Diceros bicornis minor: one gene and its partners. The protein of the gene in region 2 binds, or shares a complex with, the protein of the main gene of each other region. Links are inferred from orthologs where the notes say so. Each region holds a gene or a part of one and is shown on either strand. Other genes may lie near its edges.

The links. Proteins that work in one complex are often made in the same cells at the same time.
Region 1: SART1 (region 2) and LSM5 share a complex: the UniProt entries of both Homo sapiens proteins name them as parts of the U4/U6-U5 tri-snRNP complex. The link is inferred for Diceros bicornis minor from reciprocal best matches to the Homo sapiens genes SART1 and LSM5.
Region 3: SART1 (region 2) and PRPF6 share a complex: the UniProt entries of both Homo sapiens proteins name them as parts of the U4/U6-U5 tri-snRNP complex. The link is inferred for Diceros bicornis minor from reciprocal best matches to the Homo sapiens genes SART1 and PRPF6.
Region 4: SART1 (region 2) and PRPF3 share a complex: the UniProt entries of both Homo sapiens proteins name them as parts of the U4/U6-U5 tri-snRNP complex. The link is inferred for Diceros bicornis minor from reciprocal best matches to the Homo sapiens genes SART1 and PRPF3.

The regions. Positions count from the first base shown.
Region 1 is NC_080742.1:56,561,663-56,568,990, forward strand, and holds the start of LSM5 (U6 snRNA-associated Sm-like protein LSm5), read right to left. Parts: upstream 3,003-7,328; 5' UTR 2,941-3,002; coding exon 2,895-2,940; intron 1,144-2,894; coding exon 1,048-1,143; intron 508-1,047; coding exon 480-507; intron 1-479. UniProt on the Homo sapiens protein: Plays a role in pre-mRNA splicing as component of the U4/U6-U5 tri-snRNP complex that is involved in spliceosome assembly, and as component of the precatalytic spliceosome (spliceosome B complex).
Region 2 is NC_080770.1:7,333,589-7,341,336, reverse strand, and holds the start of SART1 (U4/U6.U5 tri-snRNP-associated protein 1), read left to right. Parts: upstream 1-4,742; 5' UTR 4,743-4,806; coding exon 4,807-5,131; intron 5,132-7,002; coding exon 7,003-7,060; intron 7,061-7,461; coding exon 7,462-7,517; intron 7,518-7,748. UniProt on the Homo sapiens protein: Plays a role in mRNA splicing as a component of the U4/U6-U5 tri-snRNP, one of the building blocks of the spliceosome. May also bind to DNA.
Region 3 is NC_080758.1:271,956-279,011, reverse strand, and holds the start of PRPF6 (pre-mRNA-processing factor 6), read left to right. Parts: upstream 1-4,054; 5' UTR 4,055-4,172; coding exon 4,173-4,243; intron 4,244-6,698; coding exon 6,699-6,867; intron 6,868-7,056. Other genes in the region: SAMD10 (sterile alpha motif domain-containing protein 10), read right to left, coding at 1-69, 148-329, 1,138-1,246. UniProt on the Homo sapiens protein: Involved in pre-mRNA splicing as component of the U4/U6-U5 tri-snRNP complex, one of the building blocks of the spliceosome.
Region 4 is NC_080743.1:54,784,552-54,791,716, reverse strand, and holds the start of PRPF3 (U4/U6 small nuclear ribonucleoprotein Prp3), read right to left. Parts: upstream 3,003-7,165; 5' UTR 2,930-3,002; intron 455-2,929; 5' UTR 411-454; coding exon 266-410; intron 1-265. UniProt on the Homo sapiens protein: Plays a role in pre-mRNA splicing as component of the U4/U6-U5 tri-snRNP complex that is involved in spliceosome assembly, and as component of the precatalytic spliceosome (spliceosome B complex).

The sequences.
Region 1 (7,328 bases), on a different chromosome or scaffold from region 2:
TATCCTCACTCTTGTTACTATTACTTACTACTGATTCCTACCCATTAAACCAATCTGTATTCAATTCAATTCTGAAAGCGGAAATAATGGTCGATTATAATCAATATAATTTAGCCATCATTTACATTTTATATTATATATAAATTACAGAGCAATTAATTTAATCAAAAGCATTAAATGTTCTTATTATCAGTTCCTTGATGTGACCTGAGCCCTAAGATTCCTGGCTGTTTTTAAGTATCTTTAACCTTAAAGTTTTGTCTCCACTAATTTCCTACCAATTTAGTAATAATTACATTGAGGTAATAACCTTCCGATCCAATCACTAGCGTCAGTGGATAAAATTTCTATTTTAAGGTAATTTCAACAGGCAATGTTTTCGCATATATCATTTTACTGACTCAACAGTACTAAAACTGCCTTAAATTAAAAACTGAGAGATCCTCCCTCCCCATTCTTTAATTTTTAACATTACTCACAACTCAGTGACATCTTCCAGTACCATATCTGAAATTCTGTGTTAAGAAAATAAATATACCAGGTTGAATTTACTCTGGCTTCTACCTCTGTTCAGTTTTACTTATAACGTCTAACACAATGACTCAAATTCAAAATGCTTGTGATTGGTAGGTAGGTAGGTAATCTTCTTCCAGCACAAACAACTTTTAAAACACTATCACAACGTCCCTGAGAATTAATTTTTTTGTGGGTGTGGGTGAGGAAGATGAGCCCTGAGCTAATATCCATTGCCAATTGCCCTCTTTTTGCTGAGGAAGACTGGCCCTGGGCTAACATCCGTGCCCATCTTCCTCTACTTTATATGTGACACCGCCAAAGCATCGCTTGACAAGCGGTGCGTCAGGCAGCACCTGGGATCCGAACCCTGGAACCCGGGCTGCCAAAGCAGAGCGCATGACCTTAACCACTATGCCACCGGCAGGCCCCAAATTAATTTTTATTATAATAATCAGTAAATACTGTCTATAGTTCTTTTGTTCTTAAATACTGAAGAAAAACCCATACCACCACCACCTTTTAAAAGGATACTGACAAAGTCATCAAATCCTAGAAGCGTGCCAACAATTTCCTTATCACTCTTCATCACAATGTGAATTCTTGATCCTATACACTTGTCCACAAGTTCTATGGATATATTTTTTTAAAGAAAAAAAAGGGAGGGAGAGGAAAAAGATTATTTTACCAATGCATTACTTCCACAAATATCTGAGTGCCTACCAGAACTTATTACTTGTATATGGTGAAATACAAACCAGGAAAAGAATTCATTCAAAAACTTTAGATCTTATACTATATACCTCTACATTAACAAAAAAGCTCTCCCTGTTCTCCACTTCCCTTTTGTAGCAATTTATCATGGCTGTGGTTTTATATTATTTTAGATTATTTGATTAACATATGAACCCCTCTAGACTCTTAGCCCCATGAGGGCAGATCATTCTACCCTCAATGGACAGTGCCTGGCATATGCTGGGGATTCAAAGTTTGTCGAATGAAGGAAAAAACTTTTCAATCACGGCCACATCCACTAACTAAATCACTCTTCAGCTACAAAATCGTAGGAAGAGACAGGCATAACTGTCTTCACCAGAGATTCCTTCTTGTCACTACCTCCCTCACCCTAAGAAGTCTATCCTCTGTACTCTGATAGCAGCTCGAACATCTCTTTACCGGGCTTAGCGTTATTTGGTATGATGTTTATTTGTTCAGCATCCTAGCTCCTCCATTGGTTTGTGTGCTATTCGCAGGCAATGGCCGTGATTTAAATTTGTTGAATAGCGGGGCCTACCCAGTGGCCTAATGGTTAAGTTTGCGTGCTCCCTTCTGGCTGCAGGAGGCGAGCGGGGGGGGGGGGGGGGGGGGGGGGGGGGGAGACGCGGCTGTGTTCGCGGGTTTGGATCCCTGGCACAGAGGATGCAGCGCTTGTCAAGTCACGCTGTGGCGGAGTCCCACATAAAATAGAGGAAGATGCAGAGGGATGTCAGCCCAGGGCCAATCCTCCTTAGCAAAAAAAGAGAAGGATTGGCATCCGATGTTAGCTCAGGGCTAATCTTCCTCTCTCTCTCTCTCTCACACACACACACACACAAATTTTGTGGACTTGTGCCGGGCCACATTGTCTGGTGCATAGATGCTCAATAACTGTTTGCTGAATGAATGAATGACAAATAGAGCTAGTTCCAGATTCTTTTTTTTTTTTTTTTTTTGGTGAGGAAGACTGGCCCTGAGCTAAGATCCCTTGCCAATCCTCCTCCTTTTGCTGAGGAAGATTGACTCTGAGCTAACATCTGTGCTCATCTTCCTCTATTTTGTATGTGGCACGCAGCCACAGCATGGCTTGATGAGCAGTGCGTGGGTCCACGCCTGGGATTCCAACCCGGAGACGCTCAGGCCGCCAAAGCGCCGCGTGTGAACTTAACCACTAAGCCACCGCCACCGGGCTTGCCCCCAGATTCCTCTTTTAAGGCTCATTCCAGACCCCGGTGCTTCTCGCAGTAACTGGCCAGCTACAGGACAGGGTGCAATCTGGGGAGCTTACATGCCAGGTTGAGGAACGGGACTGAATCCCATGACTATAGAGGTGAGCTCACAACGGAGGCGGCTGGCGACGCATTCACCAAGTGTGAACCTTTTCCAGTGGCGGTTTGGTTTGGGGAGTCACAAGTCCCTGCCTCAAGGAATCCTACCACGCTGAGGAGACGTGGGCGGCCTGAGGGCGCAAAGACTTAAAACCAGAGACGAGCCGCGGAGAAGGAAAGCAGTTGGTCCGATACATTTTCCTAACGCTCTCACACGGGCAGCCTCCCCCGCAGCCCCTGGGCCCCCAACCCTAAGCTTCAGCTCCCCGCCCGCGCGCCCCACAGGGCAACTATTACCTAGAGGCAGCAGCTGCGACGGGTTAGTGGTAGCGTTAGCAGCCATGGCTACGCCGGAAGTGGCCTGCGTCCATCGACGTTGGGTCGGCGAGTTTGAAAAAGCACGCTTCCTCTTTTTCCTCCCCCACGCAGCCCGGGCAGGCTCGACCAATCTGCGGCCGAGCGTGCGATCGGTCCAGTCCGCGTGGATCGCGCCCAGTTGCTTCTTTCCGGGGCAGTGAGATCGCGAAATATTTCTTATCCACTGAGTATTCTGCTGTGTCTGCGGCTACTCACTCACTCTCCCTTAGAAATTTTCGGGAGACCGTTAAAGATGTTCTGCCTTGTGAATAAATTCTTCCTCTAACCCGGAAGACTTTGCAAAATACGGAAACTTTTGAGTCGTCTTATTTTCCTCTATAAAGTTGCGTCTTAACCCAAGCCAGGATCTTTCTTCAGACGCGTATGAATCAATTTGTTTTTCCTGCCACCAACTCACTGTGTTGCAATTTTCGTAAAAACCGTTCAATCTTCAAGAATCTACCTTTTCTTTTAAAAGTCCAGTGGATTGAAAACGCATAACCGGCATTTTTTAAAACTTTTCTAGGGTAGAGATTTAAAATATGTTTTCTCTTTATTTTTTACTACTTTAATTCATCGTTCTTGTCTTGTTATATCTAGGAGTCTTAGTTTCTTACAGACTTCGTATTCCGTATTTCTTCAACAAACATTGTCTAACAGGCAACCACCAGATGTCACTGTATGTTAATGTCATCACACTTAAGAAACCTTAATACTTTTGCACTTTTGTTTTGAAAAGAATAGAAAGCAAACAAATTCTCTGCCTTAGTCTATTTTCTATTTGTATCCTAGGAACTTAAAGCTAAAGACTGTGAACAGCGAAGGCCAGAAAGAACATCATTCATACAACAAATGTTTTTAAAGCACCCATCATTCATTCAGCAAACAACTATATATTAGTTGCACACTATTTGTCTGGCATTTTGCTCAGTATAAAACAGTGTACAGAACAAAACTACAAGGTCTTCTGCCCTTTAAGGAGCTTAAGGATGAGTGGGAGAGAAAGACAACAAACATTATGTACAAGGTACATGAAATTTAATATATAAAGCAAAAAGACCTTTTTTAGCTTCAAGAATACTAGACACGTAGGTATGATTTAAGGGAAACATCAGTGAGGAGGTTCAGAAGCTCTTACAGAAGGGCCTTTCAGTTCAAAGCACCCTAGAGCTCAGCCTCCTTCTAAATACCAAGCCAATCCTGGCTTTTTTGCATATTTAAATATTGAGCGCCTATTATATGCCAAGAAACTGACAGATACATTTATTCCTAATCTTTATGACTATCCTTTGAGACAGATGTTAGGATGAAGTTCCTCATACTCAGAGGTTAAATAATTTGCCCACTGGCCACATAGATAGCTTGGGAAGCTTTACAAAGGAATTGACAGGAATCTAGTCTTGGAGGATGAATAAAATTGGATAGGCAGAAAAGGGGCAGGAGCAGCATTCCAAGTAAAGGGAATACTGTGTGCAATTGGCATGTGCCCACCTCCGAACATCTCTTGCACTTCAATTTAAATCTTACATACTTTCGGTAAGTTTGGCGTAAAACCCTTCCCTTCCCAAATGTTTTCCCTTAATAACCCCAGTCCTTAATGATTTTACTTTATTACACTTAGGATGCTCTGGCCCCCAGTTCTAATAAATCCTGCTCATCCTTCAAGACCCTGCTCAAATGTGACCATCTTTGTGAAGCTTCTCTGACTTGCAGACCTGGTGGGCTCTCTCATTATCCAGCAAGGATGTTAACAGCTCTCAGAATGCTCTCAATGTATTCTCTTATAATTATGTATCTACAGGGTTACCTCTTCCCCAAAAAGACTGTGAATTCCTGAAAGTCAAGAATTTTGGGAAGCAATATAGTGATTAAATCCATTGGTTCTGAAGTTAAATCACTTTGGTTCAAATCTCATCTCCACCACAATGCCTTCTAGTTATTTGACCTTGGGCAAGTTATTTAACCTTCCTAATTCTCAGTTTACCCATAGGATAATAGTATCTACTGATAGGATTGTTGTGAAGATTAAATGAGATAATCCATGAAAAGTGGTTAGCAGAGGACTAGCACATAGTGCTTATTCATTAAACGTGAGCTGTTATTGCTTATTTATCCATGTTTCCTAATACTCAACATGATGGTTGGCTTAGAGTAGGTGCTACAAAGGCTAGCATTGCTAGCTGGTGGTTTCATGTTTATCTTATTTTTATAACCAGACATAAGCCACTTTAAGACAGCAATTTCTTTCTTTCTTTCTCTTTCTTTCTTTCTCTCTCTCTCTTTTTTTCTTTCTTCCTTCCTTTCTCTTTCCCTTCCTTCCTTTCTCTTTCCCTTCCTTCCTTTCTCTTTCTCTTTCTTTCTTTCCCTTTCCCTTTCTTTCTTTCCCTTTCCCTTTCTTTCTTTCCCTTTCCCTTTCTTTCTTTCCCTTTCCCTTTCTTTTTCTTTCTTTCTTTCCCTCTGCCTTTCTTTCTCTTTCCCTTTCTTTCCTTCCCTTTCTCTTTCCCTTTCTTTCTTTCTCTTTCCCTTTCTTTCTTTCCCTTTCCCTTTCTTTCTTTCTCTTTCCCTTTCTTTCTTTGCTTTTCTTTCTTTCCTTTCTTTCTTACTTTCTTTTCTTTCTCTCTCTCTCCCCCCGCTTTCTCTCCCCCCCTTCTCTCTCTCTCTCCCCCCTCTTTCTTTCTTCTCTCTGCCTACCACAGTTCCAGGTGTACTGTAGGGTCTAATGAATGTTCTTTAAATTGATTCTATTTCATTCATACCCATCAACATCCCCCTTAATCTTCATAAGATTCTAAAGACAAAGTAATGCCAAATTTTTTTGTAAAGTCCTTTTCTTTTCCTCGTTTTTCTTTTCTATCTCTATTCTTATTTTATTTTCACCATACCATAATGAGGGTAGGGACCAAATTCAAGGCATTGTTGCTACTTGATAAGAGTTTAAAATTCAGAAAAACATGCTTTTAAGAAAGTCAGTACTTTAAATTTTCCATTACAAGAAAAAAATGAACATTAGCAATTTTCAATACTATTGATGAAGAATAAAGTAAGTCTCTTTATACTCTGAAAAAGGAGATAATAGTTCATTTACCCAGTAAAGTTAATGGGGATTGCAGGAAGGGAGTGGTTTTATTTTACCATGTTCTTTCCTGAGGCAAGACGAAAAAAGAAACAATGGGCCGATTCTAGATGGAAAGTTCATTTTTAATGAACTTGAAAACATGTCATAGCTCTGTCTCCAGGGTTTTTCTCCCTTTAGCTCTTATAGAGCAGACATAAAATAGGATTTACAAGTCATCATAAAATACATGTAACTAGAAAAGACTCTTCAGTGTATTATATGTTCAGAAAAGTGTTTCTAATTTTTTCCCTGGAGACAAATGTCATCATAAAAATACAAACAAAAGTTTCCTTTCAAAATAACATTCAGAAAGTATTCTGTTATGTCAAATTGTTATTTCCAATCTTGATAATCTCCTTCTGACACTTTTTAAAATAAAGGAGAAATATCTATTTTTTTCTCAATAGATATTTGTCTTTATAGACAATATCTTGTTAATGAATTTATTCTATAATAATACAACTTATTAAAAACTACTGTAACAGTTGTTATTCTAAACTCTTAAATGGACCAGTCTGTATATTTAGAGATGGAAAAAATTCTGGAAATTCCCTTGCTTACTTTCTTGCCCAATTTTCCCAGTAACATATCCTCTTTGTTTATAGCATTTATTTTAAGTAATTTTTTTAAACATTTAAGCAACATAATAGTTATGAATAAATGATTTAATCTTTGTTGGAAGCTCTAGGATGCAAAGTGACACAGATTTTTATAAATCTATTACTGGGTCTCCTGCACAATGAATTAAGCAGTTGGTGTTCACTGTAGATATAGAATTCTAAGATGCTCTGCCCTTACATATTTTTTAAAAGATGTTCAGTTAGACTTTAATTTTAGCTATGCCAATTGTGGAAAATATCAAGGCAGATGGAAGAAAACAGTAACATATTACGCATACAGGGAATAATATAGTTTCACACACAGTTCTGAGCCAATGCCAAGAATTTTGTAATATAAAAAAGAAATTGTAACAACATCTTGAAAAATTTCTACAGTATTTTTATTGGCACTAAAACAATTCTACTGAATCATAGAAACCAACCTTGATTACAGGAAGCCTATTGTTTTTCTCAGCTCTACTTAGATTAGAATGCAGGTCCTTAAATTTCAAGGCCAGGATAATAACTGCTAAGGTTGTCTAAACTAAGGGATGTGCAACTAGCGATGGTAAACTTCACAGCCAAGTATTGTAGTAATCTCGAATTCTGTTTAAAGCGGGCACCTATCCTTTAGTTTATCCCCAAACTGCCCTGGCTAAG
Region 2 (7,748 bases):
GGAACCCTCCTCTCATGAGGCTTACATTCTACTTGGGAGGAAGGATAATTAATAAAGAAATGACCAAAATATATAGATAGAGATGGAAAATACCTGAGAGGTAGATGGAGTGGTCAGGGAGTCTCTCTTTCCTTGACATTTGAGCAAAGACCTGATTGACAAGAAGGAAATGGCTATGAGATCTGGGGGAAGAATGTTCCAGGTCAAGCTAGGTGCTGTCTGTTCAACCATCTGCACCATTCATTCATCCCTTCATCCATCCATTGATCCCATCAGCATTTTGTTCCTCTTTCCCATCCATTCACCCATTGGTCTGTCCCTCAAACCAAAAGGTATTCACCTAGCTCCTACCAGATATGGGGGCCAGGGAGAAGAACAAGATCTGGCCCCTACCCTCCCCTTTGCAAGGGGAAGGTAGCAATACAGGCGAGGTCACAGATGTGTGCACTGAGCTCCACAGAGCTCAGGTCATTCAGAGTTGGGGCACAGGGCTGGCTGGAGTGGGCAGGAAGGCCTTGAGCTGGGCCTGAGGGCCGAGCCCCAGAGGCAGCCTCCATCAGGTCAGACTTCCACGACAAAGCCCATCCCCCAGGCTCTCGGCTTTCTGGGCTCCTGCAATCCCTTCAGACCCCATACTCCCCTACCCGGGACCTGACCCTCTCTGAGACGCCTGTGCCCAGCTGACTTTTCCCATCCCTCTTTTTTCCCCTCTCACCCCCCAAGAAGCCTGCTGCAGGCCTGGGAGCGGCAGCAGCGGGAGGAGCGGCGGCAGGCTGAGCTGCGGAGGGCCCGGGAGCAGCAGGTTCAGCAGCAGGTGGCTCGCTGCCTGGCAGCCTACGCGCCCAGAGGGAGCCGGGGGCCAGGGGCTGCCCAGCACAAGCTGGAGGAGCTGAGGTAGGAGGCCAGGGCTGCGGAGGGCCCGGTGGGGAGAGGGCAGGGAGGCAGTGTGAGGTGTCAGACAAGGACCAAGGAGACCCAGCCCTCCCCTTCCCTCAGGGCTGAAACTCCACGGCCACCCTCCCGCCCAGGCAGGCGGGCCACACTCTACAGATGAAGACACTAAGCCATGGGAGGAGAAGGGGCCGGGCCAAGGTCACCCAGTTAATAATAACAAGCCCTGCAGCTGTGGAACGCTCAGGTTAAAATGTTCTACCTGCATTATTACACTTTCAAGTCTTGTTTTTCCGATTTCAAATGCCAGACATGCTTACTACAAAAGTTCAAATATTACCAAAATTGTTCTTGTACAATGGGAACAGCGCCTGTGATCCCACTCCTGGAGACGACCACTGTTGATGGTCAGTGAAGAGTCATCAGTGTTCTTCTCTTCCTATAGTTTGACCATGAAAAAAAAAAAGGTGGGGGGCCGGCCCAGTGGCGTAGTGGTTAACTTTGCGCGCTCCGCTTCGGCAGCCGGGGGTTCGCAGGCTCGGATTCTGGACACAGACCTACACACTGCTCATCAAGCCATGCTGTGGTGGCGTCCTTCCCTGGCACATAACCAAGGGTCCACAGCAAGGCAGTGTTTTTCCATGGGGCCCAGCATACTTGCTGGAGGTCCCAGCACGAGTCTCGGATTCTTGCCTGCTGCTCTCCTGTCCTGTGTGTGGGTGCTGCCACCACGCCCCTCGGCTTCTCTTATGTGCTTCACAGAAGGATGCCTGGTCCGGAGCACGGTGTGGCCAGAGGGCCCCTCTTGCTGCCAGGATGCTCAGCTTTTTGAGCAGACACATTTGTGACAAGCGCACAAACTGGGTTTTTGTAAATGGATTTGTGCTTCCCCAGTGGAACCCTGATCTTTCTGGGATGTGCTCTTTTCATTTGCAACACATTTCTTTAGTTCTTCTGTCCCAACTGCTAAGCTGTCTGCTTATCAGAACCACAGAGGATGCTGGCAAGCTTGTCCAGTCCCTGCTATGGCACAGACAAGAAAACTGAGCCCAGAGCCCAGAGTGGGGCCTTGCCCAAGGCCACAGCATCCTCCTCGCAGGTGCAGTGTGAAAGGGTGCAGGGGTGTGGACACGGGGAGAGGAGAGGCTGTGCAAGCAGATGCCCAGTTGCTCAGAAGCCAGTGATGGCCCCTCTCCCTTGGGGGTGGCTGCAAGGCTGGGGGAGCCCTGGCTGCACAGCCTGCAGACTTGGGCTCAGGACTCAGTCTCTCACTTCCCAGCTGTGCAACCTTGGACAGGTTCCTCAACCCTCCTGAGCCTCAGGTGCATCAAGGGTAAAATGGGTCAAATAACTCCTGCCCCACTGACCTCAGAAGGAATCCAGGGTGAGGATGGGAATGAAATGGCTTTGCAAAGGCAACGGCCAGAGAACATAAACATAAAGTCCTTAGTGAGGACGAGTGGGCTCAGGAGTGGGGATGGCTGTGTCCACGGTTAGCTGCCCAGAGGCCTGTCTCCCTGCAGGCGCCAGGAGCGACAGCGCTTTGCTGAGTACCAGGCAGAGTTGCAGGGCATCCAGCACAGGGTGCAGGCCCGGCCCTACCTGTTCCAGCAGGCCATGCAGGTGAGGGCTGGCACAGGGCTTCTCCCAGGCTGAGTGGGTAGGAAGCAAGGTGGGAGTGGGCCCCCTTAGATGGGACCCCTGGCTGCTGCCCATCTGGAAGCCCTGGGACGCCCTCAGTACCCAGAGCCCCACTGTGTCCTCGGCAGCCCTGGTGCAGAGCAGGAACCCCTCCTCTCTCTCCTCAGGCCAACGCCCGGCTCACTGTGGCCCGGCGCTTCTCCCAGGTGCTGTCGGCACTGGGACTGGATGAGGAGCAGCTGCTGGTGGAGGCGGGAAAGGGGGACAAGGAGGGGACCTCCAGGAAACCCAGGTGAGACCGTCTAGCTGACCAAGGAACCGGCTCTGCCCAGCTGCGGGGAGAAGAGGCGCCATCACCAGCCCTCTGAACTCTGTCTCCCTGCCCTGGGGAAAGGCAGAGGGACTCCGTGGGAAGCCACATTGATCCACCCTTAATCTAAGCTTCAGTCCTGCCCCATCTACTCCCAGGTCTGGAGGACTAGTTCTAGCAGTCAGCAGGGTCTTCCCCAGGCCCTGTCCTCCATGTCGCCTGAGGAAGACAGGGCCAGGGTTATTTTCCCCACTTCCCAGTGAGGAAACTAAGCACCTGAAGGGCAGGGTCTTGCCCAAGGTCACAGGAGCAAATAAGCAGCAGAGCCAGTCTGGGAACCTGTGGCCATCTGAGTGGCCACACACCAAGGCCCCATGATGGGCTAGTGCCACTCCAGTCACCCCAGGTATACTGTCCCTTATGCTTTAGAAGAACCTAGTGCAGAGCAGGGATTATGAGGCCCAATTCACAATAAGGAAACTAAGGCTCAAGGAGAGGAAGTCACTGGCTCAGGGTCACATAGCATAGGAGCCAGATTTGAACCCACATCATCAGTGACAATGGCCTTTCCCCTCCTATAGCCCAGGTCTCCTTGGGCATGAGGGTGGCGAACTGCAGAGCGCAGTGACCTCTATCTGTGTCTTCATCTTTAAGGAGACACAGGTCAACAGGGGTGAGAATGGAGCACTCTTCTCAGAGCCCCCCAAGGACAGAACCCACCGGCAGCCAGCCTGACAGGCACTCCACCCAAGCCCAGACCAGAAGTCCAGTCCCTGAGAAAAATTAAACGCTTTATGGAAAATACAGCGTGAGACTTCCAGTGGTGGTGGGAAGAGGCTGCGGGTTGGGAGTAGCAGGCGGTAGGTGGGTAGGCAGCCGGCTTAGCTTGTTCTCGCATCCCCCAGGAGCTCCCGCTGTTCTGGCTGCCCCCTCCCAGCACACACAGCCCCGCCTCTGCTCCTGAGGAGGGGGGCGTCTCAAAGAGCAACAGCTGCGACTCCTCCACCCCCAGTCGCCAGCATACATGTTGGGTTCTAGAAATTCAAGAGCGAGTAAGACAGAATGGCCTCTGCCTTTGGCGACTCCCAGTCCGGTGGGGGAGGGGGCGGACCTTTAAAGGGGCACAGGCATCACACCGTAACAGATGGACTGCACAGGGACCGCCAGATCTAGCAACTGTGGGGTGTGGGTGTCAGGAGGAACCGTGTGAGCTGGGTTTTTAATGTTAAATAACTTCAAGTTAGAGCCCCTCTTCTCAAGAAATACACACACACACACACACACAGATGCGCCAAATTTTGCACTCAATTTCAGGGGGTTCACCAACACACAGAAGCTCATCTGGAGCTCCTTAGCAGTTCACGGGGCGCAGGTTAAAAACCCAATCCAGGGAACGTGGGCAGGCAGGGTCTGCTGCCAATACTGGTTGTAGGGGCTCGGAGGCCGGGCTGTGGGTCTCAGGAGGAGAACATGCTGCGTCGTCCAACGCTGGATGGAGCCACGACCCCAGGGAGTAGTCCACTAGGAGGACGCCTACTGGAGCGGCGGGCGCTGTCCACGGAAAGTCTGTGAGGCAGTGAGCGTCCCGTGGCTGGGGGTGTGCAAGCGGAGGGAAGCCGGGGAGGGGCTTCCAGCTCCGGGGACGCTGACTGAGACAGCCTGTAGGTCCTTCAAGTTCTGGGATCCGGTCTTCTCCAGACCGGGTCCGCGAACATAGAAGAGCGCACGCGCCAGGGGACCACAGGCTCCATGACCGCCCGCCCGCCCGAGGCGGCCGCGAATGCGCAGTCGGGCGCCGATCCTGGCCCTCCCATGAGCCTTTGGGGCAGGCTCCGAGGGGAACAACGGAAGCAGCCGCTCTTGGTTTCCGGCAACACGACAGCGGCTGCCGGGCGACCCGGAAGTGTTCCCATTTTGCGTCGTCTGGGCTCGGCGGTGGCCGGGCTCGGGACGGACATACCACCATGGGGTCGTCAAAGAAGCATCGCGGGGAGAAGGAGGGGGCTGGGACGACGGCGGCGGCCAGCACCGGGGGCGCCACCGAGCAGCCGCCGCGGCACCGAGAGCACAAAAAACACAAGCACCGGGGCGGCGGCGGCGGCGGCGGCAGCAGCGGCGGCGGCGGCGAACGACGGAAGCGGAGCCGGGAGCGTGGGGGCGAGCGCGGGGGCGGGCGGCGCGGGGCCGAAGCCGAGGCCCGCAGTGGCACTCACGGGCGGGAGCGCAGCCAGGCCGAGCCCTCCGAGCGGCGCGTGAAGCGGGAGAAGCGCGATGACGGCTACGAAGCCGGTGAGGGGCGGGGCCTGCGCGGGGGCGGGGCGGAGGTCCCGGGTGGGCTCGCCCAGCCTTCAGGCCGAGGCACCCCCCAGGCTGTTTTTCTCAGCGCTTAGTCTTGTTACGGTTATTTGAGATTAAAGGTTGTCTTCGTTTGTTACGCTCTGTGAGCACAGAGATTTTCTGTTTTTCGCAATTGGTACATCAAGGGCCTTCAGTAAATGTGCAGAGTGAATGAATGAACGGATGAAGTGGTAGTAGCCTGTGCAGAGGCAAGAGAAAACCTGGTATTGGGCGAATCCTGTAGGGCTCACGATAGAGACGGGAGGCTGTAAGATAGGCAGGGATCGGAACACGAAGGGTGCCGTAGGCCCTGTTCCGAAATTCGAACTTTGTCCTGAGAGTAGTAGGGAGCCATGGATTTGAGTCGAGGAACGAGTCCATCATATTTTGCAAAGATCACTGCATTGAGACCTAGATCGAGGGTAGACAAGACTGGAGGTCAGGTGAGGGCTGATGGTGGCCTGCACCAAGGCAGCAGCAATGGGATGGAGAGATGTGGACAAATTGAAGAGGTGTTTTGGAGGAGGAATTAACACGCTTGGGTGAGGGTGGCAAGGAGAAGAAGAAATGGAGGATGGCTCCTTGAATTTTGGCTTGAGCAGCTAGGTGGGTGCTGGTGTCATCTACAGATGTTGAGGAGTTTGAAAGAGAAGCAGACTTTGCAGGGAAGATAATGAATTCAGTTTTGGAGAGTGTTGTGTTTGATGTGTGTGAAGAAACCCAGGGTTTGGCCTGGATAGAGCAGTTTGGGTGTCATGAGTAGTTAGGTGTCAAATAAAGTTCACTAAAAGATTGACGAGTGAGAAGCCAGGGTCAGGAGTGGAGTCTACAAAACACCAATATTTTAGTAGTAGGTGGAGCAAGATACTACAAGAAGGGAGGTGGAGTAGCCAAAAAGGCAGGAAAAGCATAGAACCCGGTGTCATGGGATCTGTGGGAACAGAGCATTGTTAGAAGTGAGTGATCAACAGTGTCACACACCACAAGAGATCAAGCAAAACCAGAGCTGCAAAGAATCCATTGGATTTAGAAATAAAGAGTCTGGTGACCTTGGAGAGAGCCCGGAGGGGTTGGGATGGATCCAGGGTCCGGGTGGGATAAAAGGGGAGGAGGTAGGTTGCAGGGATGCAGAAAGGGTGAGCACATGGTGGCAGCTGGTTGGGGTAGCTTCATCTGAGGGTGTCTAGCTTCTGTCTGTGGTGCTCAGTGAAGTTGTTTGCTGTTTATGAGCTGGGTGGAGGAGGTCCGAAATGCTTTTTTTGTCTCTCTGTCCCCAACGTCCCGCACAGAGCAGGCACCAGTAAGTGTGTTTCTTGACTGTGTGAATTGCACGGAGGATTCAGTCATGCTGTCAGCGTGGTCCCTGCCCTGTGGGGAGAAACAGACCCAGGAGCAACTGACGGCGCTGTGGAGTTCAGGGAAGAGCAGTTCATTCTGATCAATAATTCAGCAGGACCTTACGAAGGAGGTGGCATTTGATCTTTGCGTTTGGATAGGAATTTGTCAATCAGAGTGAGGCCAGGGAGGGCAGTGCAGGTTGAAAACACAGAATATACAAAAGTGGAGAGGTGGCGGAGTGAGGGATGCAGAAAGTTGGACCTTTAGGGTTGGGAAAGGAAGGTACGTAGAAGAGGCAGAGTTCTCAGACACTGGGACTCAAGTAGTGGGAGTTACTGGGGTGAAAGAAGGCTGCTGTTTCCTGGTGTCTCAGCAAGGCCCGCGTGCTGGTGAGGGGCCCTCATCTTCAGCCCTGCAGCTGGAGCGGAGGAAGTGGCTTCTTTGCCCTGTGTTCAGCTCCTGAGCCGTGCTCCTTGTTGTTCCAGCTGCCAGCTCCAAAACCAGCTCGGGAGATGCTTCGTCACTCAGCATCGAGGAGACCAAGTAAGTGCTGTCTCCTTTTTGTTTCTCGTTTTTTTTTTCTGAGACAGGTGGCTCCTGGGGCAGTTGCTTGGGGAGGCTCTCACACACTAAAGCGTTCTGATTGGAATGGGAAGGGCTGTAGAAATCATCTTAGCCAACCATTTGAGTTACAGAAGAGGACACTAAGCCCCAAGAGGAAGGATGGCATTCCACTGGTTAGGGGCAGCCGGGCTTAGCGCCGGTGTGCCCTGATTTGGAGGCCAGTGCCCTTCCCAATGCCCTGGGCTGCCTGGGTCAGGCGCTGTGTTTGGGACCCTTAGGACCACCCACTCCCATCCTGTTTTCACCCTCTGTCTGTCCAGAAATGCATTTGGTGCCCCCATTTGTTTGACAGCTTCTAACAGTTGTACTCTTGTCTTCAGTAAGCTCCGGGCCAAGTTGGGGCTGAAACCCTTGGAGGTCAATGCCGTCAAGAAGGGTGAGTGTGGGGCTGAGGATGGGGGTGGGGGGCATCTGAAGACAGTGGGGTTAGAGTCCAGGTTCAGCCCAGTTAGTGGTCGTGTGTGTGTATGTGTGTGCTTGCTGATAGGCGTGAGGCCCCTCCTTGCTGTCGTAATGGGGATCTGGGACTCAGGTTCTTCTGTAAGTTTGAACAGTTGGCACTGCATCCTTACGCTGGCTGTGAGGCAGCGTTAGGTGGAGTGAGAGA
Region 3 (7,056 bases), on a different chromosome or scaffold from region 2:
AGGCCTCGTCAGGCCGCCCAGTGAGGGACTCGTGTGGTACAGGCCATAGTGGTCAGAGTACAGCCGGCCCTGCAAGGGGAAAGGGGTGGCAGGTGGAGTGAGGTGGTAGGGAGGGCAGGAGCAGAGGTGGGTCTAGTGGGTGGGTACCTGGGGGCCCTCCGTGCCAGGCTGCTGCAGGAGCTTGACGGGCCGGCCACCCACTGCCCTCTGGCTGCGGGAGTCATGCCAAGTGAGGCTGGTGCTTGGTGTCCTAGGCAGATGGCAGGGGATGGTCTCGGCTGACACTGTGTGCTCCAGGAGGGTCCGGCAGAAGCTGAAGTGGGCAGTGGCTGTGGAGCAGGGGTGCCTGGTCAGAGTGGTCAAGGGCAAGGCCAGAAGCTCCTCTCCCTGTGATCTAGCTCTTTGCTTAGCCTGTCTCCCTTCCACTTTCCCAGTTAGGGGTTCTCAAGCCCCCAAAGGCAGAAGGAAGCATGTAAGAGCTGTCTTGAGGACTCCACCCAGATGGAGATGGGGTGGGAAACTGGAATAAAGATGAAGAACTGGAAACACCTTTCCCCCTCCGAATCCACAGTTTGTGCTTTAGGAAGCAGGATGGGTGCTGCTTAGATTAGAGAGAGGACGTGCCTCCAGGGAGCCTAAGACTTGCAGCCAAGTGAGGGGCCATCCTGGGACAGCCTTGACTTCACGCTTGCCTTGGGCTGGCACATGCCACACCAGACCAGGGTATACACACAGGACCTGCTTTGAGGAAACGCCAGCCCCAGTGTCCTGGGAGGCCCTGGGTGGTGGGGAGACCCCTCTGGGTGCACCATCTACCCGTCATTGTTGAAGGCACTCAGTCTTTGCAGCCGTACCTGGTGTTTGAGGCTTGGCCCCTAGCTGTCTGTGCTCACCAGCTGTGACTCATTGACAAGAAGCCTGAACTCTGGGCAAGCCGATAACCGGGATTCCTGCTCTCCCACCTCCCACAGGGACCCCTGGCCTAGGACAGCTCCTGTGTGTGTGGGGGCTCCTGCAGGCATGGGCTGCTTAGCACAGGTGTGCAGGGTGCACCCATGTGCCCAGGGCCCCATGGTGACGCCTCGTGCTCTCTCTTTCTATACCAACTTCATCACACCCCTCAGGTTTTAGTTTTACCATCATTTCTGGGCTCGTTGCTGACACGAGTCAGGGAGTGCAGACACCTGGATGGGCCTCTCTGAAGACCATGCACAGGTCTTGATGAACAGAAGGTGCCCAGAAACATTGTGAATGGATGGATGAAGGCTCTAGTGGTGTCAAGTCAACAGAACCCTGGGGAAAGACGGGAAGCTGGGCCCAGGCTTGCCCCCGTCTTTACAGTACCCAGGCCCTGACTCAGCAGGCAGGATCAGGTTCTCAGGCCCCAGCAGAGTGAGAGACTCTGCCTCCCCTGGACACAGCCCCCCATCATCCCCACTGAGAGCAGGGTTTGGCAATGTGCCCAGGAGGTCTCTGTAATGAGGCAAACCCACATCTTACTCTTCCTCCTTCCACCAGGTAAGATTCCCCCGACTTAGCACCCCCTCCCCATTCTTGCAACTTTCAGGATTCGGGTGACCCAGGTGACTAAATCTGAGGTCTAGGGCCAGACAGAGGGTGTGGCCAGTGTGGCCATTGCCCTGAGATGGTTTCTAGTACGGTGAAAGAAGACTTACTCTAGGCGGGCACCTTTAAGGGTATACAAGCGCCTGGGTTGCAAGGCTTCTCCTCTTGGGAGGCCTGGCTAGGGCAGGAGCGCACTGCTTGGGGAGAACCAGTCAGACGCCTCGGCCCTTGCGGCACCTGTCCCCAGCCAGCCGGGCCCCGCCCATTTCCTACCCGCACTCGGGGAGGGATCTCTGTCCATCTGTGCGTCCGTCCCCCGGTCGGTCCCTCCCTCCCAGCTCCAACGTCAGAATTCCAGTAGGAAATGGGGTGGGGGCGCCCAAGGCCAACTGTGGCCTCGGCCCCCCTCTCGGCCCCAATGCAAGGGCTGGGGAGGGTTTTTTCAGCGCGAAGGAAAAGGTGACCGCAGGGTGGTGCCAGCCTGGGGACAGGAGCCACAGCCGGCCACCTCCCCCAAGCCAAGAAGCGCTGATCCCCAAGGCCTGAGGCCGCTCACCAGCGCAGGACAAAGACACCAGAGACCCCGTTCACCCAGAGCGCGGCCCCCACTCTGCGCGCCGCAGCCGCTGGGAGTCCGCCACGTCTCGCCCCTGTCCCTCTCGGTCCCCGAGCCCCCAGCCCGCGATATCCCCCACCCCGGTCCAGGCCCGCTCACCGTCCACATCCCGGCGCTCCCCGAAGCCGGCACGCACAGCCCCGGTGCGGCCTCGCGGGGGGCTCAGCTTGGTCCTCAGCTCCGTGAACATGGGGCCCGCGGTCCCAGGCCCCTGCACACGCCCCTCGCCGGGCGCAGGGGGGGCCGGTGTGGCCGGCGGGGAACGCGCGCCGCCGCCCCGCCCCAGCCGGCCCCGCGCCCGAGCCGGTCCCCGCGCCCGGCGAGTCTGCGCGGCGAGGCACCTGCCGCTGAGCCCTGAGTGCCGGGCGCGCTCCGGTAGCTGCGAGGTGTGTCGGCGGCGCGCGGGTCTGCGTAGGCAAAGGGTGCTAGAGCAAAGGGCGTCCGTGCGCACCTGGGCATGGCTCCAAGGACGAGTGACCCTATGCACCTACAGGCGCTCCAGGCGCCTGCAGGAGCCTCTGAGGCAGGGAAGTAAAGATGTATTCATCCCCTTTGTGTGTGGCAGGGTGAGGGAGGCATCCTACCTGCTCCTGGGACCTTCTGCCCATGGGGGACGGGGTCAAGGGCCAGACTGATCTCTCCCAGTCACCTCCCTCCCCATTCCTATTTCAATTTACTCACTCACTACTTTATTCAGCATCCTCCAGAGCTCTCCAGAGGTCTCTCCCTCAAATGGGCACTTGCTTCCCCAGAGAAGCCAGTTTGACCTTCTCTTACCCTACCACCACACTGTAAACTCTAGTTGGACAACCAGGGTCTCTCCCCTTTCCTATGTAGCCCCAAAATCTGACTCAGTGCCCAGGACGTGGCACTAAAATGGGCTTGGCTGGGGACGGGGAGGAGAGAGAAACTCCAAGGAGGCTGTGGCTGGCTGGAGGAACGTGTTTCCTCCAGGACCCCAGTGAGAAGTGCTAGAGTGGGCTGGGGGCTGCCTGGTCCAGCAGAAGGCCAGACTTGCGACAAGCTGAGTTTTGCCTGCTCTGCCAAGAGCCTGAGCGCTCCTCCCAGGGGTATGTGGGGGCCAGCAGATGTCCCACAGCAGAGCCAGCAAAGGTGCACACGGACATGCAGAAATGTGTGCAGAGCTCAGTTATGCACGTCCACCCGAGACATCAGCGCAGGTGGTCTGACCTGTACCCGTGCCCACCAGCACACAGGTAGGGTTTCGGGGAATTCGCCCACAGCCTGACTTGTTTCCACAGATATGCATTTGCTTGTTTTTGTCATTTAGGTCTCTAGGGGCTGGCTTGCTGCCCTCCCTGGAATGTACAGGGTCTGGCGGTGGTGTGGGTGGGGCCTGTATCGGGGCTGGAATCCGAGCACTGAGAGCGAGGGCAGCAGCCTGCACACGGGCACACACAGACAGGGGTGCCCGCAGTTACGACTGATACACCCTGCACAAGCTCGACACAACTGGACAGGCGTGCAGCTCCGCTCAAACGTGTTAGGGCCTGCCCGGGGCCAGGGCAACTCTGAAGGGCAGGGTGGGCAGCTGGGCTGGCTCAGAGGGAAGGGACCCACGGGTTCTGCTCGTACAGGAGGTCTCCTTGGAAATGCGTGGAGAACACGCAGCAAGCAGGGATACCCCAGGCTCAGTTTTGAGGTCCCGCAGGCTTTGTCCAGGATGGTGTCGCTCCTGGATCCCCCCGTCCGCCTGCTGCCGTCGCCCCAAGCAAAACCCCCGCGCATGCGCCTGCCGCATCTCTGGCCCTTAGCCGCCGGAAGTCGCCGAAAAACGCGTTTCCGGAACTTCCGCCCGGGGAATCCGAGGGGGTGGGGCTTCGTGCGCACGGCGCTCTCTGCTTCCGGGGCGCGGGTGACGCGGGGCCCGCGACGTCCTGCTGCGGCAAAGTCTCCGACGTCTGTGGGCTTTCGCCTCCGGGGGCGGTCTCCGACCCTTCCCTTGCCGACCCTCGTCGTCCCCGGTGCCATGAACAAGAAGAAGAAGCCGTTCCTGGGCATGCCCGCGCCACTCGGCTACGTGCCGGGGCTGGGCCGGGGGTGAGGCCTGCGGCGGGCCGCGCTGGAGGGGCGGGAGCGGGCGGCGCGCGCTTGGGCCCGAGGCCGGGGCGGGGGCCGGCGTAGGGGCTGGGGTAGCGGGCAGGGGCCGGGGTAGGGGCCGGGGTAGCGGGCAGGAGCAGGTGTAGCGGGTAGGGGCCGGGGTAGCGGGTAGGAGCTGGGGTAGGGGCTGGGGTAGCGGGTAGGAGCGGGGTAGGGGTCGGGGGTAGCGGGCAGGAGCCGGGGTAGGGCCCGAGGCCGGGGCGGGCGCCAGGGCAGGGGCTGGGGTAGCGGGCAGGAGCCGGGGTAGGGGCCGGGGTAGCGGGCAGGAGCCGGGGTAGGGCCTGGGGTAGCGGGCATAGGCTGGGGTAGGGGGCAGGAGCCGCGGTAGGGGGCGGGGTAGCGGGTAGGGGCTAGGGTAGCGGGCAGGAGCTGGGGTAGCGGATAAGGGCCGGGGTAGGAGCCAGGGTAGCGGGTAGGAGCTGGGGTAGGGGCCGGGGTAAGAGATGGGGTAGGAGCCGGTGTAGCGGGCAGGAGCCGGGGTAGCAGACAGGGGCCGGGGTAGCCGATACGGGCTGGGGCAGGCACCGTGGTAGCGGGCAGGAGCTGGGGTAGGGGCCAGGGTAGCGGGTAGGAGCCGGGGTAGGGGCCGGGGCAGTGGACAGAAGCCAGGTTAGGGGCTGGGGTAGCGGGCAGCGGCTGGGGTAGCGGATAAGGGCTGGGGTAGGGGCAGGGGCTGGGGTAGGGGCAGGAGCTGGGGTAGCCGGCAGGAGCCAGGGTAGCGGGAAGGGGCTGGGGGCCGGCCCGGGCCCCCGGAGAGACTGTTCTAACTGCCCTCACTTCTCTCCAGGAGGCAGCCGGGTTAGGGCAGCTCGCGGACAGCCATGGGAAAGCCGAAAACAATGATAAGATACTAGACGGTTTCGGTTAACCCCTGTAGGAGGAATAGTGTTTTGGAATTAGGACAGACCTGAGCATGACTTTTGTCTGCTACTTAGGAGTTGTGTGACTTGGAGTTTATGCGTTGGCCTGTTTTTTGGTCTCTAAGATGGGTAATAACACTGTCTTGCAGATCTGCTCTGCTGGGCTAATGAATCCCTAACGTGTAGTCAGAACACCTTGGCTACCTCCCTAGGCCAGGCAGACCTGTCAGCCTTGTCTTAAGCATGACATTCTCTTCCGATAATCTGGGGTAGATTCCTCTGTGTGGCTGCTGGTAGTGCCTCCTTCTTTCCCTGTCGTGTTGGTCGTCATATGCTGCTTGTTCAAACGCTGAGCTCCCTAGGGGCAGGGATGGCATCTGTGAGGCTTGTGACTGGGTCCCTTAATGCCTGTCTCACAGACGACTATCCTAAGTTGTTGCCTAAGTGGGGTAGTCATTGTCACTATTTGTTTGGCTATTTATTTGGTTAGGAAAACTATTGGTTTCTCTTGTTGGGGGTTTTATGTTAGAATCTGTGGGATACACGTAAGTCTCAGAAACTGACGCTGTTTTCAGAGTGCCTGCAGTTTACTAGTTGTGAGGTATTTGCATAAATAAGTACACGAAGGGGAACAGATTTAGAATTTTGGGGTTCCAGTCATCAGGGAATGCTCTATGGAGTGGTAACATTTGGCCAAGTTTAGAAGGAGAGCTGGAGTTAGGCACGTAGAGATGTGGCAGAATTAAAGGAGAAACGGACGTTTTGTGTGTTGAGCAGTTAAGAAAAAAGACGAGGCGTGGCGGAGGAGTAGCAAGGAGTCTCGGAGTGAAATGTGCAGTGAAGGGAGGGGAGCTGCAGCAAGTCAGAGGGACCAGGGCTCTTGGGGGCAGCAGAGAGACAGAGACGCTTCCGAATGCTGCGGTTGGAGCTGCACTGAAGCAGAGGAAGGCTAGAGGCAGGGGTGGCTAGCTTGGTTCCCAGCTGTGATGGGAGTCATGGTCTGCGGAGGAGGGCTTTCGGAGGTAGGTTCAGTAGAACTTGGTGACACCCAGGATGAAGAAGGAGGGAGAGGGAGGCAAAGCTGGTGCCATGGTGCCTGCCTTGGTGCCTGGGATGGCACTGCCATCATCAGCTGAGACAGCCCAGAGCAGCTGTGGGGTAGGCACAGAAGAGAAAGTGTGATTGGGTCAAGTTGGGTGTGGAGTGGGAGATGATCAGCAGGTTTTTGGAAATGGGAGGCTGGGGTTTGAGGAGGAGGGAGGCCTGATGCCCTGGCAAATCTCTCTCAAGGAGAATGTGGGGTGGCAAAAGATAGCTTTGGTAACCTCCTCAGGGTGGGTCAGAAAGTTTCTCCCCGGAAGAGGAGAACGGGCTAGTGATGTTGGAGAGCGTGGCCATGCGTAGCTCACTGCACCAAGATCTTTGAGGTTTCCCAGAGGTGTTAGGAAAAGAGATATTGTCAAGTGACGATGGTGCAGGGCGGAACACAGGAACAAGGTCACCCAGATAAATGGGCATCTTGGGATCTTCTCCAGTGCCACTGGCTTCACCACCCGGTCAGACATTGGGCCGGCCCGGGATGCAAATGATCCTGTGGATGACCGCCATGCCCCCCCTGGCAAGAGGACTGTTGGGGACCAGATGAAGAAAAGCCAGGCAGCAGACGATGACGACGAGGATCTGAACGACACCAACTATGACGAGGTGACTGGTGCTTGCCCAGCCGGTCTCCAGCAGGGCTGAGCAGCTTCCTAACCCAGGGCGCTGTTGGCATCTGTGACGAGTGGCTGGGCATTCCATATTTCAGCTGTTTGAGGGATGTCTTGGGCAGTGTGCGAGAGGGGAGCAGGAAAAATACAAAAATGTGCACTTTTATTGTCTCTTTAAAAGAGA
Region 4 (7,165 bases), on a different chromosome or scaffold from region 2:
TATTTCCTAAGTAAATATAACTTAGGTAACTCAGCACAGTGGTTGAAGGAAGTCAGTCTGATATTCAAAATATGTCACAAATAGTATAAAAAAATAAGAGAAAAAGCAAAAACAGTCATTTAGTCTAGGTCATTATAACACAAGAGAAAATAAAATGTGGCCTGACCTTTTCAGACACTCCCAACAGAGAGAATTTTGGAGAAGTTCAAAGCAGTGCTTGGGATCATCCTGTATGTTAAGTCAAAAGATTCAGAAAGGTACATACCAGCTGCCTTCTTCTTATCCATGCCCTTCCCCACACAGTTCAGTGCTGCTGTGACCACTGTGGGCTCTGAGAAACCCAGCACCCTCTTCACTGTCTTCTCTATCCATGGTTTCAGCTCATCCAGCTCTCTCTTAGACAGTGCCATTCTTTGGAAAAGAAGGATAGCTCAAATGGGATTCAATACTGCACCTAAAAAGAAACCAGGAAAGAGTTAGGATAGGAAAAGACTAAAGTGATTCCAGGCAACAGTTAGTACATCAGGAATGCCTTCCCCACCCCTATTCTCAATCTTTAGGCAAGCTCTTCCACTTCATCTCAAGCCAAACAGTTTCCCTAGAACCCATACTTTAAAGCAGAAAGAACTACATTCCGTTTGATTTTTAACCCTAAGTCAGTAAGTATCAGTGGATCAACGAAATCTGTGGAATACACAAACCCTGGCAATAACTTAGTCTGAGAAATGAGTTCTAGCTTTTTGATCCTGTCATATCAACAAGGACTGGCAAACATATAACATGAAAACAAGACTGAAAAAGCCTACCCAGAGGCTAGCTTTTCTATTCCTCCTGCTTCCAGGCAGGCGTTCCTTAACTCAGCCCTGACCTATAGGTTTCCCTTCCTCTAAGTGATGCAACTAAGTGGGGCTTATCCAGATCAGTCATTCTACATTAAAGCGCATAATCCTTAAAAATGTGCTGTCACATTTCTCTGTAGTCATATTCATCCCAGTGGGAATTCTGTACCCAGATAATTTTTCCTCATATTCTACAGGGGCTCTGTCAGCTGACTTGATAAGAGTAATCCCTCAGCTGAGAAAAGAGTACTCTCATTTTGGATGTACTTTCCCTCTCCCCTTTCACCTCTATTCTACTTTTCAGCTTAGCAGAGAAAACACTAGCATAAAGGACTTTCTACAACAAATCTTTATTATTTAATGCAAGTTAGTATAATTCTTAAACATTATTCATGTTTACATTTTGATCTCCTACCTAAATCTGAGAACTCCTCATGAGCATAGAGAAAATTTTATTTCTCTGATTTTTCTCCATAGTGTCTAAAACAATAAACTGCACTGACCTCAATTTCCAAGCTAACCTCCTCCCAGCAGTGCCATACATCAGGATCTGATCTGGGAGTTAATCTTTCAAGATGTTTGAAGACATCTTTTCTCCTAAAAGACAGTCTGGGCCGGCCCCGTGGCTTAGTGGTTAAGTGCACGCGCTCCGCTACTGGCAGCCCGGGTTCAGATCCCGGGCGCGCACTGACGCACCGCTTGTCCGGCCATGCTGGGGCCGCGACCCACATACAGCAACTAGAAGGATGTGCAACTATGACATACAACTATCTACTGGGGCTTTGGGGGAAAAAAAGGAGGAGGATTGGCAATAGATGTTAGCTTAGAGTCGGTCTTCCTCAGCAAAAAATGAGGATTAGCATGGATGTTAGCTCAGGGCTGATCTTCCTCACACACACAAAAAAAGACACAGTCTGATTAACTTCTACATTCTTAGCAGGTTTATCCTCTATATGACCTGTTGCTAAACAATATATTTAATTTTGGTATAACTATATGAAGCTAGTAGTTTAAAGTCATGAATCTAGGAGTGAAAGATTTTGTGCCTCAGGAACACGTTATATGAATAATTCTATGGTGGCTCTATTTACCCATTGTGAGACAGCAGTATAGCCTATCAATCTCTACATATTAAATGTGCATTGCTCAAAAGAAACATATTCAGACACCATAGAGAGTGAAGAAAGAGCTCACACCGAACAGCTGGGACACGGAGCTCTACCATTTATCAGCCTTTGGACAAGTAATTCCTCTGAGCCTCAGTTTATTCATCTTACAAAATGAGGACAATTGCCATACCTACACCATACTTAATTCATCCAGTAAAAATTTATTGCATAGCTACTCAATGTCAAGCACTGTACTGGGTGCTGAGGATACATACAACAAGAATCTCCTTTGCCTTAATGGGGCTTATATTCCACTAGAATTGAATCATAGGTTAGAAAGCACAAGCAATTTGAAAATCCAAAGCAATAAATGAAGTACCACTCTATCAGATGAAATGCGTGCCCAAGCACTATACTAACAAATATATTCAAGTTCAACCCAGTCCTCCATAAGATGATGTGCAAACTAAACAGCCAGTGGGCAAAAATGCAAGTTTCAAACAGTAGCTAGCTTTGTCACTAATCAAATGTTCAATAAATGCCTGGGGCGGGGCTGGGGGCGGTTTATGGCGTGGAAAGAGAGGAAGGTAGAATGATCTCCTCTGAATGAGCAGGCAGCAGAATCCAATCTTCTGAAGGATTTCCTTACTCCGTGCTCTTCTTTGCTACAACCCGAGCACCCCTCCTGAAGGCCCCATTCTTCTCTTTCCGCTCTCTCCGTCTCTCCGACCGGCCCCCTACCGCACCTTGTTCTACCCAAACTCCTCATCTCAGACCTGGTCTCCCCACCCCGTCCCCTTCCCGCCCCCGCCCTTTTCCTCTCAACAATTTCATTCCAACCCGTTCTTCCTCAGAACCTTGTACTTCTCTCAGCTTCCTTCCCGCTGAACCTTAACGCCTTGGCCCTCCCCTTGGACTGAGCCACGGACCCAGTCGCTCGGACCCGAGGATACCCTCTCTGGGCCCGCGGCCACTACTCACCTCACAAACTTCAGCCCCTGAGACGGAGCCCGAACGTTACACCGGAACCGGAAACCCTCCGACCGCCCTACGGCCTGCCGTGGCTGCCGCCACGGCCGCCGCCACGCCGCAGTCCCCCAACATGTGACGGGGGAGGGCCCGGCCGCTGATTCGCGCAGCCGTAGTAGCCACTTTCTCTGCGGAGGAGAGCACGCGTGGCGGAGCCATAAAGTTTCCCCAGCTAAATCTATTATCTAGATTACTGCAAAGTTAACGTTGCCTGAAGCAGAAATTAGGCTGCTTGCAGTATTCCTAGGGAGGAGAATCAGTGCACTAAAGTGATGATAGAACTAAAAGCGGGGCTTCCGCGTTGAGGCTAAACAGGCCTGGCAGAAAGTAAACCCTCCGAGATTCGTGATCCATTAGCATTAGCCACCCTTCAACCTTTCTGCCTTACTTAACAGTAGCACCAGAGACCATCCAAAAAAAAAGATGAGTATAAGGGGACTCCGAAGATAGCAGCCCCCCCATGCCTTTTATTGTTTCATTCATTGACGGAACAAATATTTCTGACTGCCTACTACTATGTGCCACACATCCTCTGAGAATCAATATTGCTTAATGATTAAAAACGAACACGGGCTTTAAAGCCAGACTGCCTAGATTTGTGTTCCAGCTCTCCCACTCGTTAGCTGCGACATTAGGCAAGTTACTTAGGCCCTCTGTTTCCTCACCTGAAAAAAAAAAATCCACCTCATACGGCTGCTGTGAGGACCACAAGAGTGACTGGGGGTAATGCACTTTAAACAGTGCTTTTCACCGAGTTCAATAAAGCTACATGATACATAATAAAATATCCAATTGCCTACATAAATGTAAAACAGACATCTCAAACTCACCTAATGAAAACTAAGCTCCTGATTCTAACCACCACCTCCCCCAACTAAGCTCCTGATTCTAACCACCACCTCCCCCAAAAACCAGCTGCCAACAGTCTTCTTCATCTCAGGTAACTGCAACTCTATTCTTACAGTTATGCAGGCCAATAATCTTAGAGTCATCCTGGACTCCTCCGTTCCATTGGCCATACTTTCAAAATATATACAGAAGCCATCTGCTTCTCACCTCCACTACTATCACCTTTATGCTTGATTATTTTAGTAGTCTCCTAACTGCTTTCTCTTGCTTCCACTTTGTCCCTTTTAGTCTAGTCTCATCACATAAACATAGTAAGTAAATTATCTAGTACTGGCACAGTAGGTACTATAGTGATCGTGTTAACACATCAGAAAGGTCATATTACTCCCCTCCTCAAAACCCTCCCCTGGCTTTCCTTCAGAATAAAATGCCCTACAAGATCTGCCCCACTCTCTTAGCTCTGTAATATCATCTACTACTACTCTTTCCTTGACTCATTCAGCTCCAGAATCCTGACCCCTTGTTGTCCCTTGAACATGCCAAGCATAAGCTCACCTCAAGGCCCTTGCTTTTGTTGCTTTCTGCCTGGATTGTCCTTCATCCAGATATCTGCATGGTTTGCTCCCTCATTTCCTTCAGATTTTTATTCAAATGTAACCTCAGTGAAACCTTTCATGACCACCCTATTTAGTTCTGAAGCCTGTTTAGCCCTCAATTTCCCCAGTGTTTTTTTTTTTTCTTTTTCTATAGAACTTATCACCACCTACCATACTAGTACTAGAGCATTTACTTATGTTTCTTCCTTATCATCTGACTCCCTCTGCTAGAATGTAAACTCCTTAAAGGCAAGAATCATTGTCATTGATATATCTTAAATGTCTACAATAGCACCTGATGTAATTAAATAAATATTTGTTGAATTAAAGAATGAATCTTTTTTCAGCAGTAGATCTTGCAGGCCTCAGAACCTGCTGAAGTCTGGTTTTTACCTAAATGGAAATTCCCTAAGGGCAAGAATTGTGTCATATTGTTTTTATCTCCAGGGCCTAGGATAGCACCAGACACAGTAAAGGCTCAATAAATGATAAATGAGTAACACCTGGGCCAGCCCTGTGGCTTGGCGGTTGGGTGCGCGCGCTCCGCTGCTGGCGGCCCGGGTTCGGATCCCGGGCGTGCACCGATGCACCGCTTCTCCGGCCATGCTGAGGCCGCGTCCCACATACAGCAACTAGAAGGAGGTGCAACTACGACATACAACTATCTACTGGGGCTTTGGGGGGGAAAATAAATAAATAAAATCTTAAAAAAAAAAAAAAATGAGTAACACCTGCCAGTACTGTTTTCTTCATTTTAGCAATAAGCCTGTATTTTTCCCTTTCTTCAAAACGAGGCTCTAAACTTTCCTGACCCTTTAAACCAGTGATTCCTAAAAGCATGCATGTGGGCAAAGCATAGTTCACAAAAAGCATGTCCAATCCATTATGACACAATTTCATATACAGGAAATGAAAAAATATTCCATTATATCAGATAACAAACTATACAAACTAAAATTCCGGGCCGGCCTGGTGGCGTAGTGGTTAAGTTCAGCACGCTGTCTTTGGGCAGCCCAGGTTTGTGGGTTCGGATCCTGGGTGCGGACATACACCACTCATCAAGCCATGCTGTAGTGGTGACCCACATAAAAAATAGAGGAATATGGGCACAGATGTTAGCTCAAGGCCATTCTTCCTTAAGCAAAAAAGAGGAAAATTGGCAACAGGGGTTAGCTCAGGGCCAATCTTCCTCACAAAAAAAAAAAAAAAAGAAACTAAAATTCCAAGGTGTTTTCTTAGATGATAGGCTGACCAGAAAAATGCAGTTATTCTCTAGGGAGCTTATTAGAATTTCCCAGGGAGCAGAAGATTTTTGTATCTAAAGGCTAGTTTTTAAGAAGTTTGAGAAATACATTAAAAAACCCACCTTCCCTTATGGTGCAGCATGACGTAATGGAATAAAGCTTAGCTTTGAGTAACAAATTGAGGAAGCTTGAACATGTTGTTCAAGTTATTCATGCCCCAATTTCCTCATTGTAGCTATAGCACCTAACACCAATGTCTCATATAATATTCAATGAAAAAAGTCTGTTAAATGGGTTAATGAGTTCCAACTCTGTAGAGCTGTAAGTTTGTTTCAGTGCTTTTAACCAGCTGGGTTTAATTCCCGGAGGGAAACGTTTTTCTAGGAAATGATTTTATTTCCAACATTTGGAATGAGATGGGTTTAAATCTTTAGTCTCCCAGTTACTAGCTGTGATTCCTTCAAGTAATTAATTTTTATGAGATTGTTTCCTCAATTATAAAATGAGAATAAGAATTTCTATTTCAAAAGAGTATTGTGAGGATTAAATGTAATGTATAAAACACATTTAGTGTGGTACTGGCATAAGGATAGACATATAGACCAACAGAATAGAACAGACAGCCTAGAAATAAACCTTACATATATGGTCAGTTGATTTTTGACAAGGGTGCCAAGACCATTCAGTGGAGAAAGGACAGTCTGTTCAACAAACGATACAGGGAAAACTGGATATTCACATGCACAGGAATGAAGTTGGATGCTTTCCTCACATCATATACAAAAATTAAAGCAAACTGGGTCAAGGCAAGAGAAAGAAATAAAAGGGATCCAAATTGGAAAGGAAGAAGTGAAACTGTCACTATTTGCAGATGACATGATTTTATATATAGAAAACCCTAAAGAATCCACCAGAAAACTTTTAGAAGTAATAAACGAATATGGTAAAGTTGCAGGATACAAAATCAACATACAAAAATCAGTTGCATTTCTGTACACTAACAACGAAGTAGCAGAAAGAGAAATTAAGAATACCATCCCATTTACAATTGCAAAAAAAAGAATAAAATATCTAGGAATAAACTTAACCAAAGAGGTGAAAGATCTGTACACCGAAAACTATAAAACATTGCTGAAAGAAACTGAAGAAGACACAAAGAAATGGAAAGATATTCCGTGCTCTTGGATTGGAAGAATTAACATAGTTAAGATGTCCATACTTCCTAAAGCCATCTATAGATTCAATGCAATCCCTATCAAAGTTACAACAACATTTTTCACAGAAATAGAACAAAGAATCCTAAAATTTATATGGAACAACAAAAGACCCCGAATAGCTAAAGGAATCCTGAGAAAAAAGAACAAAGCTGGAGGTATCACACTCCCTGATTTCAAAATATACTACAAAGCTATAGTAACCAAAACAGCATGGTACTGGCACAAAAACAGACACACAGATCAATGGAATAGAATCGAAAGCCCAGAAATAAACCCACACAT